3 linked regions of the Struthio camelus genome follow. The protein of the gene in region 1 purifies or fractionates together with the protein of each later gene. This does not show direct contact. Links are inferred from orthologs where the notes say so. Each region holds a gene or a part of one and is shown in the gene's direction. Other genes may lie near its edges. The genes, in order: NEDD1, C7H10orf88 and gamma-tubulin complex component 3.

Region 1 (3,747 bases):
TGCTGAGTTCACGTAGACTAGAAGTGAAACAACTTGGTAAATCAAAACTCCATCATAAATGGAGAGTGAATGGGGAATTTCATATCTAGCAATGCTTGGAGCCATTTATAAGGTAAAGATTCATTTGAAACCAGACCTCTGTAGCATCATTTAGTTTAACTACAGTTTTCATGTCTAAGAGCCTTTAAAGACAATCTTTTACTGAATGCTGTTCTACTTAGGTTTAAAAAGCAAAGACTGTGAAAATACATCATTTGCAGAACTGCTAGCTTTTATTCTACTATATGAAAAATACCTTTCTATAGAAGTCAGTGTGGCTGGACTGGTAGCTATATTCAAAGTCAGGATACAGCCACAAAGATTCTGTTACTGGAATTAAATGGAAAGTGTGCAATGGGGTACATGCCCAATAGGTATGTTGTGAGCACAACATCTGTAATTAAAAGTGGACATCATTTGGCAGGTTCAGATCAGGAACTTTTCCAGTTAGAAGGTATTTATTACTGTTATTTATATTTGTGATGTTGTTGTCCCAGCAGAGGTTAAGGACCCCACTGTGCCCCCCGCCCTATACATCCCCTCCTCCCAAGTTCACAATTTGAACGCAGCAGGTACAGGATTCGGGTTTCACTCAAAATCGGCCCATCATGGAGCAAAGGACTTGTTAATACGTGGCTGGTTCCAGCTTTCTTTAGCAGTCCCCAGCCAGGGGCTCCGTGCCGCTGCCGGCTCTGCCGTCGCCAAGGCAAGAAGGGAGCCCGCTTCCCCTGAAGGCCACAGCGGGTGGGCGGGCGGCGGCCGCCGCCGCCGCCTCAGCCCGGCGCCCGCCACGCCTCCCAGCGCCACCGCGGCCCAGCGCTCCGCGCCCCTCTCAGACGTTGGGCCCCCGCCAACGGCCGCCGACAACGGCCCGCGCGCGCGCGCGCTCGCTCGCGCACTCCGCCACCGCTTCGCCCCCTCCGGGCCACCGTAGCGGCCGGGGGATAGGGCAGGGGAAAGCGCGCGGAGGCTGTTGGGACGGGCTGTTAACTTGGATGCCGCGCGGAAAGTCGGCTGGGGAGGGAGAGCGCCCGGGAGGGGCGGCACTCATTGGCTGGGAGTGCCTGACGGACCCGGTAGAGAACTGGGAGCAGGGGCGCCTGAGCCAATCGGGAAGGCCGGCGCCCGGGCCCCATCCCCGCGGCGGCGGCGGCGCTCGGCCGGGGCGGCAGGGGAGGCGAAGGGGCTCGGCTCGGCGCGGCTCGGTTCGGCTCGGCGGCGGCCTTGCAGGCCGCTGCCGCCCGGCCAGGTGGGCAGCAGGGGCGGGGCGGGCGGCCGACCCCAAGCGCTCGAGGAGGGCGCTGGGGCAGCGCTGGTGGCGGGGCCGGGCCGGGCCAGGCGGCCGTGGCGGTGCGCGGAGCGGCTCGTTTCGCTCGCTCGCTCGCTCCCTCCTGTCCTCCGGGGCTGCCCGTGCGGAGCGTGGCCGGGGGGTGCGAGTCGTGAGGAGGAGTGTGGGGTGGCGGAGCGGCTCCGCGCCTGATGTCCTGGGCCGCGGCGGAGCCAAGGCAGCTGCGGACCTCCAGTTTCCTGGCTCGGTTTCCTCAGTTTCGCGGGTTTGTCTCAGGCGTTTTGAGCTGTGAGAATCAGGGAACGGAAACTGTCCAGAAACGTCCCAAGAACTCCTTTGACTGAAGGGTTATTATGCTTTGAAATCAACGAAGGGTTCGCCTTTTGGGGCCTCGCTTGTTGTCTGAGTTTCAAATTAGCCAGAATAAAAGCTGAGAATAAACTTTATAGAATCAGACTAGCTAATTCCAGATTTAACTCTAAAAACGGCTACTGTCAAAACAAATGGTAGTACGGTTTACGTTGTGAAAGCTGCATTGAAAAGTAATTCATTGTCGCTCGTCTTCTACTGTTGAACGTTTAGTTTAAAAGATTCTCCACCTTCTCCTGTAGGATGGGGAGAGGGACGCTGGAGTCCTTTAGGTCCTAACTTCCAGTGTTTCCCTGTTGCAACAGTCGGTTTGATTCTAGCTTGTATAGCTCCATCTGCTGTTGACAAGTGAGTCCTTGAAATACTCAGGACTTCGTGTTAGATATCCGTAAACTCTACGGATATATGGGCACGTAAAACATCGTTTTCATTTCTGATAGCAGCTCGAGTTCCAGGCTTGTAGATTATTAACTGCATGGATTTTAGACGTATTGGTAGTGCAGAGAGGTTGATGTTTTGTTTGTGAAAAGGAACGCGTATGTTTCCTGCAAGAATTAAAGTAACTAAAGCGAGGAGTGTCTGCTGCTTTCAGCAGTGTGCTCAGTTGAATGGTGCTACTTGCGTAACTCTCCAAATAAATATCTGTCTTATCAAGAAAACGGTATAAAATGGTATTGATGAAATTCTTCTTAACTTGCAAAGTGAACTGTTACTTAATTTTTATTTATTTTTACATAAATAGGTGCAGCCATGCAAGAAAGCATACGTTTTGCTTCATCAGGAGATGACATAAAAATATGGGATTCCTCATCTGTAACCGTAGTGGAGCAGTTCAACCCGCATACACCCGCACATCCAGTCAGCTCACTGTGTTGGGCTAGTAATAGTATCCTTTACTACTTTAGCCATAGTTTTATGGGAGTTATGCAAAATTGCAGTGCATTTTTTTTATTATTATTAAGTTATCTCTAAATGAAAGGTCTTATCTGATCTTGAAAAGCCTTGCATAAAAGGATTCTTACATACTGTGAAGAAATTTTTGTGGTTGCCTGCATTTAAGTTTCACAAAATAAACTCATGCTGGTAGATGCTTCTGAAGATGTTAGTCCTCCTTTAGGAGGACTGTCAACCGCACATCTTACTCATTTGTTTCTTTAGTGATTGATTACAAAATTCACATTCAAGGCAGTAATTAGTTTATTGATAAGGTTCAACAAAGAAATTGCTAATGTAGTAAAATTCTATATTTAATGTAGAGAATAATTTTTTGTTTTGTTTTGTTTAACAGTTTCTCACTGATTCTGTTAGAAATGGCCTCTGTCTGACAGAGTATACTTAAGTTTCTTACTGTCTAAGCATTGGTCTTCTGTTTACTGGTTACAGCATTTACAGAGGAAACACAAATGTGTTGGATCCATCCATGGCATTGGTTTGTCCTGGGAAATGGATCTGGCCCATGTAGACGTTTGGCCCTCTGTCTTGGAGGCCTATTACAGGATCATGATATGTGGTGCCAAGTAGATATGAGTATATGAGAAATTTCAGGTGAATAGATGTTATATGGCTGTCATGGGAAAAAGAGCAATATCTGGTCTTGATGTAAAAGAAAGGCAGGTTGCTGACAAATAAAAATGATGCCCTAAAAGTTCTGAATGCATCTATCCTCTAAGCCTGCAAGTGAGTGAATGAATGAGAAGGCAAAAATTTGCAATAGTCGGAGTACACATCGGTATTTTAGCTTGGAAATTCCCAAGAAATTGAAGCATAGTTGGGGGGGGGGGGGAAGAAAAGCATATCTCTCTCTCTCTCGCTCTCTCTCTCTCGCTCTCTCTCTCTCGCTCTCTCTCTCTCGCTCTCTCGGCGGCCTACCAATTCTTGTGGTGTTAAATCCAACAATTAACCTATATTCTTAATTAAGCAAATACAAAATCATTATGGGTTTTGGCCTAAAGGTGTAAGGCATGTGGATCTGAATGATTACTTGATTAATTCATTGTAGGGGACAGACATAGTTTTCTTGTTCCCGAGGAAAGCACAGAACTGTATTTCTA
Region 2 (3,747 bases), on another chromosome or scaffold:
GAGAAACTACTACAGTATCCAAGCAAACACTGCGTATCTGGCTCTTAGTTTCTCCATACAGAAGAACCAGAAGACCAAGAACCACCTGCCCAGAAGGCAAACAATAGAAAAAACAGTGATACTTCACCTCTGCTGAGGAAAGGGGAAGTAAAATTTCACCCTTTGAGCTTGGCAAAAAAAAAAAAAAAAAGCAAAAAAACTGGTTAGACAGCTTAATGCAAACAAAAAGCAGCACATTCTGAAACGCTGGTTGGAGAAAGTCAGCCAAATCATGGCAGGACCAAACTGGTTTCTTCTAAAAGACTGAGACTGATAATGCAGCAAGATTATAAGGGATAAGAAACATAAAGTATTGCTACCAGCAAATAACGTAAGATAATTAATACTGACTATTTTCAGCTCCCAAAAAAAAAAACCCTACTATAAAAAAAATCTACTCTTTGTAATTCCAGCTCATTGTTTTCTATTTTTTATATTTACTTCAAAAATATGTAAAAAATACATATGAAACCATGGAAATCCCATAAACATATATAACTCAGGGATTTTACTCAGGCCATTGTACATTAAAGATAATTCCCATCGAAAGTCTTAATTTATCACTCCTCAAAGAGCAGAATAACCCTCTGAAGCACCAGGCAGCACGTTGCCATCAAATTTAAAAAATGAATGTTTTCAAAACTGGACGAATTGACAGCACATTTTGGAAACATCAAGCACATTTTAGGAACTCAAACAGGAGAACCACGCAACACAGTCTTCCTGCTCCATTTTTTTTAATTAAAAACACAGGGATTTTCAACTTTACAAGGGATCCTGGCAGATATTCATTTTTTCTCCGGCTGCCGGTGAACCACATAAACCAGTTTCTCGCCCGAGTCCGCTGCTCCCGACAGTCACGTCCCGGCCGCCGCGGGAGGAGAAACTCTCACTCCTCCCCCCAGGAACTAGGATCCGACTGAAAGGCACATGAAACTGATTTCATACTTGTAGTCTCTTCTCTGAGTGATACACTGCCAGCACCCCCAGCACGGGAGACCAAATCACGCTCGTCCAAAATCTACCGTTCACTGCGACACCCGCTTCCCGCCACACGCGCCCCTCACACACACCCGCCGCCGGGCGCCGCCTCACCGCGCATGCGCACAGCCCCCCCCCCCCCCGGCCTGGCGCATGCGCCTGCCGCCGCTCCGCTCCGCTGCCGCTCCCGGCGGCGTCTGGCTGGCGGCCGGCGCGGCCGTGGCGATGGCGAGCCGCTGCCCGGCGGCGGCGGCGGCCGCTGCCCTTGCCCTTGCCGGCGGCTCCCGGTGTGGCGTGGGCCGCGTGGCGGCGAGTTGCTCGTGGCCCTGCGCGCCGCCGGGCGGCCTGGCCCGCGCGCTCTGCCTGCGGCGCGGCGACGGAGGGGACGGCGACGAGGAGGTGAGGTGAGGTGAGGCGAGGCGAGGCGAGGGCGGGGGGCCGGGCCGGGCCTCTCCTCTCCTCCGGCCGCGCTTTGCGGGGCGCGGCCCGGCGGGCCGGGGCGGGCCTGGTGGCGCCACGCGGCTCTGTGGGCTCCCTGCGCAGCAGCCAGGCGGAGGCGGCGGTGGTGGCGGCGGAGCGGCCTGCCGGCGGCGGGGAAGACGCGGCCTGCGTGCTGCGGCTGGAGTGCGAGCCGCCGGGCTGCGAGGAGATGGTGTGCGTGGCCGTGGTGAGCCAGGCGCGGCACATGGAGGTGTACGTGGGCGAGGAGTACTGCGGCACGGGCCGCGGCCGGAGCGTGGGCGCCCTGCGGCCCCGCGGGTGAGTAGCGGCCTGCGCTGCGGGCTCCGCGGCGGCGGTGGTGGGCGAGGCGAGGCCAGGGGGTTATATCTCTGCGGCTGGAGAACGGCAGAGAAAAGAGAAAGAAAGCGGGAAAGGCTTGTTTTTCCCCCTCGGTATTGCCTTCCACGCTTTGCCCCCGGAGCTAAAAGCTGAGCGAAAACATGCTATGTTAAGTCATGAAGCGTTATAAGTTCTTTGCTTGTTAGGCAAAGAGAAGCAACCGGCTTGGAGTTTCCGTGTCAATAACGGACCAGACTTCGAAAGCTGCTGTAGTAGATAAGTCAAGCACACACAAAAATCCTGTGTTTCCTTTTTTTGCACACACATCCCACGAGGTTCAGTACGTGTTGAATACAAGCATTAAAACGGCCGTATTATGTTAGAGTATGTTTCAGTCACTTTTGTTTCTTACCTGAATAACTAGTGGTATTTTGTAATTCTGCAACAAATGACAGAGCAAAAAGTGCCTTATATAGTGATGTCACAGTCCATTTATTTTATTTTTCTAGTGAAACTGAAAAAGTTACTTTATACAAAAAGTATCTCAAGCTGGAATGCCCTACAGCTTCCTGTAGAATTAAGGTAGGGACTTCAATGGAATTATTTAACCTTTCATTGTCTTTTTAATCACTTCTTTGAATAAAGTTCTCTTGTATTGCTGTTAGTCAAGTTATTGCAATTTTCGTACAGTAATTGTTTCACATAATTACTTAAGAAGACCTAGTATGTGTGTATGAAAACAATATCCTCTTAGTGAAAAAACTTCTTAAACTGGATAAATTGTAGCTAGTCAGCAGTCGATCAGAACTGCAAACTGATTCATTCACTGCTAACTCTGTGCAGTTAAATAACCTAATGAAAATCTATATGGCTACTGCTCCTCTTAACTGCTTAGAAGATCAAGGCTTAATTTATCCTTGGTGGCACGCATCTTCTGTTCCAGTCAGTTTTCTAACAGTAATGGCAAGGTAAAATGAGCTTAATTTCCCCAGAAAATACCCCCATATATATGCGTATATAAACACACAGAGTGGTGCGTTGTCTCAAATGACGAAAATACAGTTATTTCCTAACCAAAATATTTTTTCCCTTCTTGCAATAGCTGCTCTCCATTGGTGAAAAACAAAGCGTACTCATCAGTAAAATAATTGTACAAGTGAAAGCAGTGTCTGCAAAACTAGCAACTGATTTTCCTTCACTAGGATCAAGCATAGATCTAAACAGAGTGCAAACTATAATGGAATCTATGGGGTCAAAGTTGTCTCCAGGTGCTCAGCAGCTCATGGACATGGTTCGATTTCAGCAGAAAGTAAGTCATTGTGCTTTTCTGTAAACACGAATAGTGCTAATATGAGACCTTGTCTTCTGTAATAATTGAGCATGTTCTAAACTGATTTGATGAAAAAGCTGTTTTTTAACCCAAACTTTCTGCCATTTAAATCCTGGTTTGGCTATTGCCAAGCTTAAAAAGGTGAACGTGAATGATGATTGTGTACCCAAGGAAATCACCGTGCATAGATCAAGTCCCGAGTTAACAACTTTGCATCATCATCATCATCTTAAACTTCACTGTCACTGTATCCTCCTGCCTCCCTTGCTTTCCCTTCTGTTTTTTTCAGTTGTCAGTGCTTGTCATTTCATGGTAAGGATGGTGGATGTGTTTCCTGTTATGTTCGGGGTGCAGGTGGATGGGCTAGTTTGTCTGTCTGTCTCTTCTGTCTTTAATAAAGGCCCATGATTTTCAGATAAAGGAAACAAACCCTGAAAGGGCTTTTATTTGATTTAGATCCCAGTCCTCCAAAGCGGGCTATTTCAACAAAATCCTGTATCCACCTGATGTAAAGAACTGATCGGTCTTGGGGCCGTAGCATAATGAAAATTTGATTCAAAAAATTGCTGTCAGGAAAACTGTTTTGGTGCTTAGAGACTGACAAGATTAAAACTAAT
Region 3 (3,747 bases), about 100 Mb from region 1:
ATAGCAGGAATTGTTTACAGCCAGCAAAGCGCTACGTCCACCTGGCTGCTGCGGCATTTTGAAGCACCTTTACTAGACAAGAGGGAGCTGGGTTATACTGAGCTCCAGCAGCACAGGGATAATAATTATTCCCTAGTGATAGAATTTGAGCTGGACCTAGCGTGAATTGACTGAATACGAGAAATGAAGGAGAGGCATCCTCAAAAGTCAGTATCTCTTTCAGGGAAGTGATAAACTTGAGGAGCAGGTTTGTCAAAGGTCTGGATCCCAGTTAAGAGCATGTTGCCTGAAACAGCCCAAGAGCTAGCTTGATAAGGCAACCTGCTGACTGGAAAATGCCTGAAGCACACCCCTGATTACAAAAGTTACGTTATTGTTTGATGATAAGCTCTGTGTCCAAATGATAGTAACCAATTTGCCAAGCTGTAAGTTTTCATAAAATAAAAACATTGTACTTTTTACATTGAGATTTCTTTAGTGATTTCAGCATAGTTGGCAGATGACAGGTATCTCATCCTTCAGGAGTGGCAAACACCTCAGGGGTACCGCTTTACTCTCCAACGCCAACCACAACAGCAGGAGACTGGGGACCTCAGCGGGATGCATGGGCTGCACATCCACAAGGCAGCGCAATGTAGAGAAGATGTCGATTTGAGATATTGAAGTATTTTGCAGATCTGCATTGATTTGTAACAATTTTATGTGGAAAGGTTATCAACATGCATTGATATTTTTCCAGGCTTAAAAAAAAAAAAAGTAAGTTAATGTCAATTATACTTCACTGTAAATTATAGCGTGATAGCAAGGCCGTGAGCGACTTGCTCTTCTGGGGGCAGAAACGAGAGGATTTGATCTCTTTCGGTTTGGGGAGGGGGATGAAAGGACAGTTTCAACAAGTGGAAAGTGGTCGCAGGGTGGGAATTTTCAGTGTTTGGGGCACCTTCGGCCGGGGTTGGCTTGCGCTGCACGCCTCCGGGGGTGGCTTGGCCACGGCCACGGCCACGGCCAGGGCGGCACCGCCGGGGCAGGCGGACCCAAGGGGGGCCGGGGGCCGAGCGCGCGCCCGGAACCTCGGCGCTGCGGCTGCGGGCGGCGCGGGGGAGCGTGTTCGGCGAGGCGCGCTCCGGTGCCGCCCGGCGCGCAGGGGCATTGTGGGCGCTCGGCTGCCGCCGCTGCGGCTTTCGGCGGGTTCTGTTAAAATGGCGCCTTAGGTAACGGCCGGGTGATCGGAGGTGTCGTCGGGGTCGCGCGCCGGTTAGAGGAGAGGAGCCTCTTCTCCTGTCCCTCCCCTGTTATCCCGCCGCGTCTCTCCTCGCTCCCGCCCCTGCCTCCTTCTCCTCTTCCCTCCCCGCCGCCTCCCTCCCCCGGGCGAGGATGGCGAGTCCGGACCAGAAGTCGCCCAACGTCTTGCTGCAGAACCTCTGCTGCCGCATCCTGGGCAAGAGCGAAGGTAACGGCCCCCCCTCCCCCCGCCGCGCCCCCCTTGGCGGCCGTTGGGTCGCGGAGCAGCCTTCCTCCCCCCCCCGCCCCCCATCCCCGCGCGCGCGGAGCGGGGCGAGGCGGCAACGGCCGGGCGAGGCGGCGGGGGAGGGTCGCGCTGCCCTGGCGGTAGGGAGGCGGCGGCCCTGGCCGAGCGGGCTGGCGAGGGCCTTCCCCCGCGGCGGGCAGCGTGTACGTATCCCCAGCCTGACCCCCGCCCGCCGGCGGGCGGGCGGCTCCGCGCTGGCGGCCCGAGAGAGCGGCTCCGGGAGGCCCTGCCGCCGGCTGGGGATGGGGGGCGGTCGCGCCAAGCCTGAGCTGTGGGCTGCTTGGGCGCTCTGCGGCAGGGAGGTGGGCTTGTCACACCTCCGTGTCCTCCCCCGGCAGCGCTCCCCTCTGCTGTGGAGTGGGGCACTGCTGCTTGGGTGGCTGGAGCAAGGGGTGGCTTATGTATGTCTTCATAAACCTCCATCTTCCTCGGATGCCTCCTCGAGTCTGGTAACTGCTGTGGCAGCTGAATGAAACCTCCTAGATCATCTGTATTTTTGCTGTGATGTTCTAGCGAGAGGTTGAATCTCGGGGTGTTTGCATAATTTCTGTCTGTTGCAAGCAAGGCAAAGCTTCTGTTTTTAGCAGGCGGTTGGAGGGTGGAAAGGAGGAGGTGCATCTGCTATGACTCCTTTCTAAGTGCTATCGGAAAAAATAGCAATGCTGTTTATAAGCATTGCTCACCAGAGAAATTTATGACCTGCCTTGTGTTCTGTCCATTTTCTCGTACGAACATGGAAGAAAGCCACATTTCGTATTAGCTGCCAAGTCTTTTTTGTGTTTTTCTCTTGCCACTGTTTTCCCAAAAGTCACTGGGGGTTACCTTTAGAAATCTGCATGACAGTAACAGTAATAATTTTGAGTACTGACCTATTGTAAAGAACTTAGTTCAGTCTGACTGAAATGTGGCCTATGAATGAATTACTGTTGTCTTTGAAGTCTGGAAAATGAGCAACAAGGTGCAGAGGTATATATATTTGTTGTCTTATTATTTCATATTTTTTCACTCTATCTATTGGAGAGCTGAGAAGCTTGGAGGAGTTTGGAATCTCCTTGCCTTCGCTGGAGTGTTGAATAGGGACCCTTTCACAGAAACATCCTTTAAGATGTTGGTTACTGTTTTCTTTTGTTTGTTTTTGCCTTAAAATCCTGTTCCCTTTCTGTTAGTATGTCTTTTTTTCGGTCTTATGTGGGCTATTCCGTACTTTGCAACCAACCCCCTTCAACAGGATTTGAGTACTTTCCTTAATTTCAGTGAGGAACTATTTATATCCTCTGATAAGAGAGCAGATTCCAAAAATCACTTTTACAAATTGCTCCTGAGTAAAATAAAAATGATATTTCAGCTTGTAATGCTAGCTTCTAAACTGTGTAATACCTCCTGCAGTTTTTATGGAGCCATATGTTTATTTTAGCAGCTCGCTTAATTATATATTAAAGGGTATTTCACATCAGCATACAATTATAAGATGCTATTGGAACCTTACTTTTAAAGCTGTTTCTCATCTTTGAAATAACTTGGAAATATTTTTCTAATGCAATTACAGTATTTTTATATTCAAGAGCACTTCAAACTTTCACAAGAAAATTCAAATTATTGTGCTAATTCCCCCACCTTTAAAAAAAAAAAAAAAAAAAAAAAGGAGGGGGGAGAAATTGACCTGCATTATTAGAGCAGTGGAGACATCTGTTAGGTTCTTATGTTGTCAATGTTGAGTTGCTGAATCCTGTTTTCTTGATGACTCTTTTTTTAGACACGTAGGGAACTACAGTATGAATTGATCTAAGTTTGTGTTGGTAAAGAGCATTTTAGTTAGGTATGTGACATTTGTAAAACTTAAACAGAGAAGAAGAATAGAAATAGAAAAGTATCCTGCATTTATCAATTGTGGCATGAGTGTTAAGGAGAGGCTGGCTATTTCTGCTGACTTTGAATCTAGCCTTCCTTTTGGAGCTGTAATTTCTATATGTTTTTCTCCGTTCTGAATGTTGTAATAAGTTTATTTGCAAGCTCATATATGCTTGCATGCACTAGCCTGCAAAAAAAGCAGGACATGAAATTTTTTTTAATAAGCGTTGAACTTATTCCTATATGCTAGGCTTCCACTCATGTAACTAAAAGTGTTCCCTCCTTCCCCCCCCACCCCATGTGTGTGTGACTGATGAAAGAGGAAGCTTGTAGGAAGTTACCCATAATCGTACTAAGTTGCTGCATGCCAC

Evidence for each region.
Region 2: the proteins of NEDD1 (region 1) and C7H10orf88 purify together in Homo sapiens (co-immunoprecipitation; 3 studies listed by BioGRID and IntAct, counting the BioPlex papers as one, with this or other methods). This does not show direct contact. The link is inferred for Struthio camelus from reciprocal best matches to the Homo sapiens genes NEDD1 and C10orf88.
Region 3: the proteins of NEDD1 (region 1) and gamma-tubulin complex component 3 purify together in Homo sapiens (affinity purification with mass spectrometry; 3 studies listed by BioGRID and IntAct, with this or other methods). This does not show direct contact. The link is inferred for Struthio camelus from reciprocal best matches to the Homo sapiens genes NEDD1 and TUBGCP3.

The regions. Positions count from the first base shown.
Region 1 is NC_090942.1:52,707,390-52,711,136, forward strand, and holds the start of NEDD1 (protein NEDD1), read left to right. Parts: upstream 1-1,009; 5' UTR 1,010-1,115; intron 1,116-1,163; exon of another isoform or gene 1,164-1,288; intron 1,289-2,438; 5' UTR 2,439-2,446; coding exon 2,447-2,582; intron 2,583-3,747. UniProt on the Homo sapiens protein: Required for mitosis progression. Promotes the nucleation of microtubules from the spindle.
Region 2 is NC_090948.1:5,466,133-5,469,879, forward strand, and holds the start of C7H10orf88 (ATPase PAAT), read left to right. Parts: upstream 1-1,173; coding exon 1,174-1,424; intron 1,425-1,563; coding exon 1,564-1,779; intron 1,780-2,309; coding exon 2,310-2,382; intron 2,383-2,902; coding exon 2,903-3,109; intron 3,110-3,747. UniProt on the Homo sapiens protein: ATPase that regulates mitochondrial ABC transporters ABCB7, ABCB8/MITOSUR and ABCB10. Regulates mitochondrial ferric concentration and heme biosynthesis and plays a role in the maintenance of mitochondrial homeostasis and cell survival.
Region 3 is NC_090942.1:157,254,626-157,258,372, forward strand, and holds the start of gamma-tubulin complex component 3, read left to right. Parts: upstream 1-1,063; 5' UTR 1,064-1,374; coding exon 1,375-1,450; intron 1,451-3,747. UniProt on the Homo sapiens protein: Component of the gamma-tubulin ring complex (gTuRC) which mediates microtubule nucleation.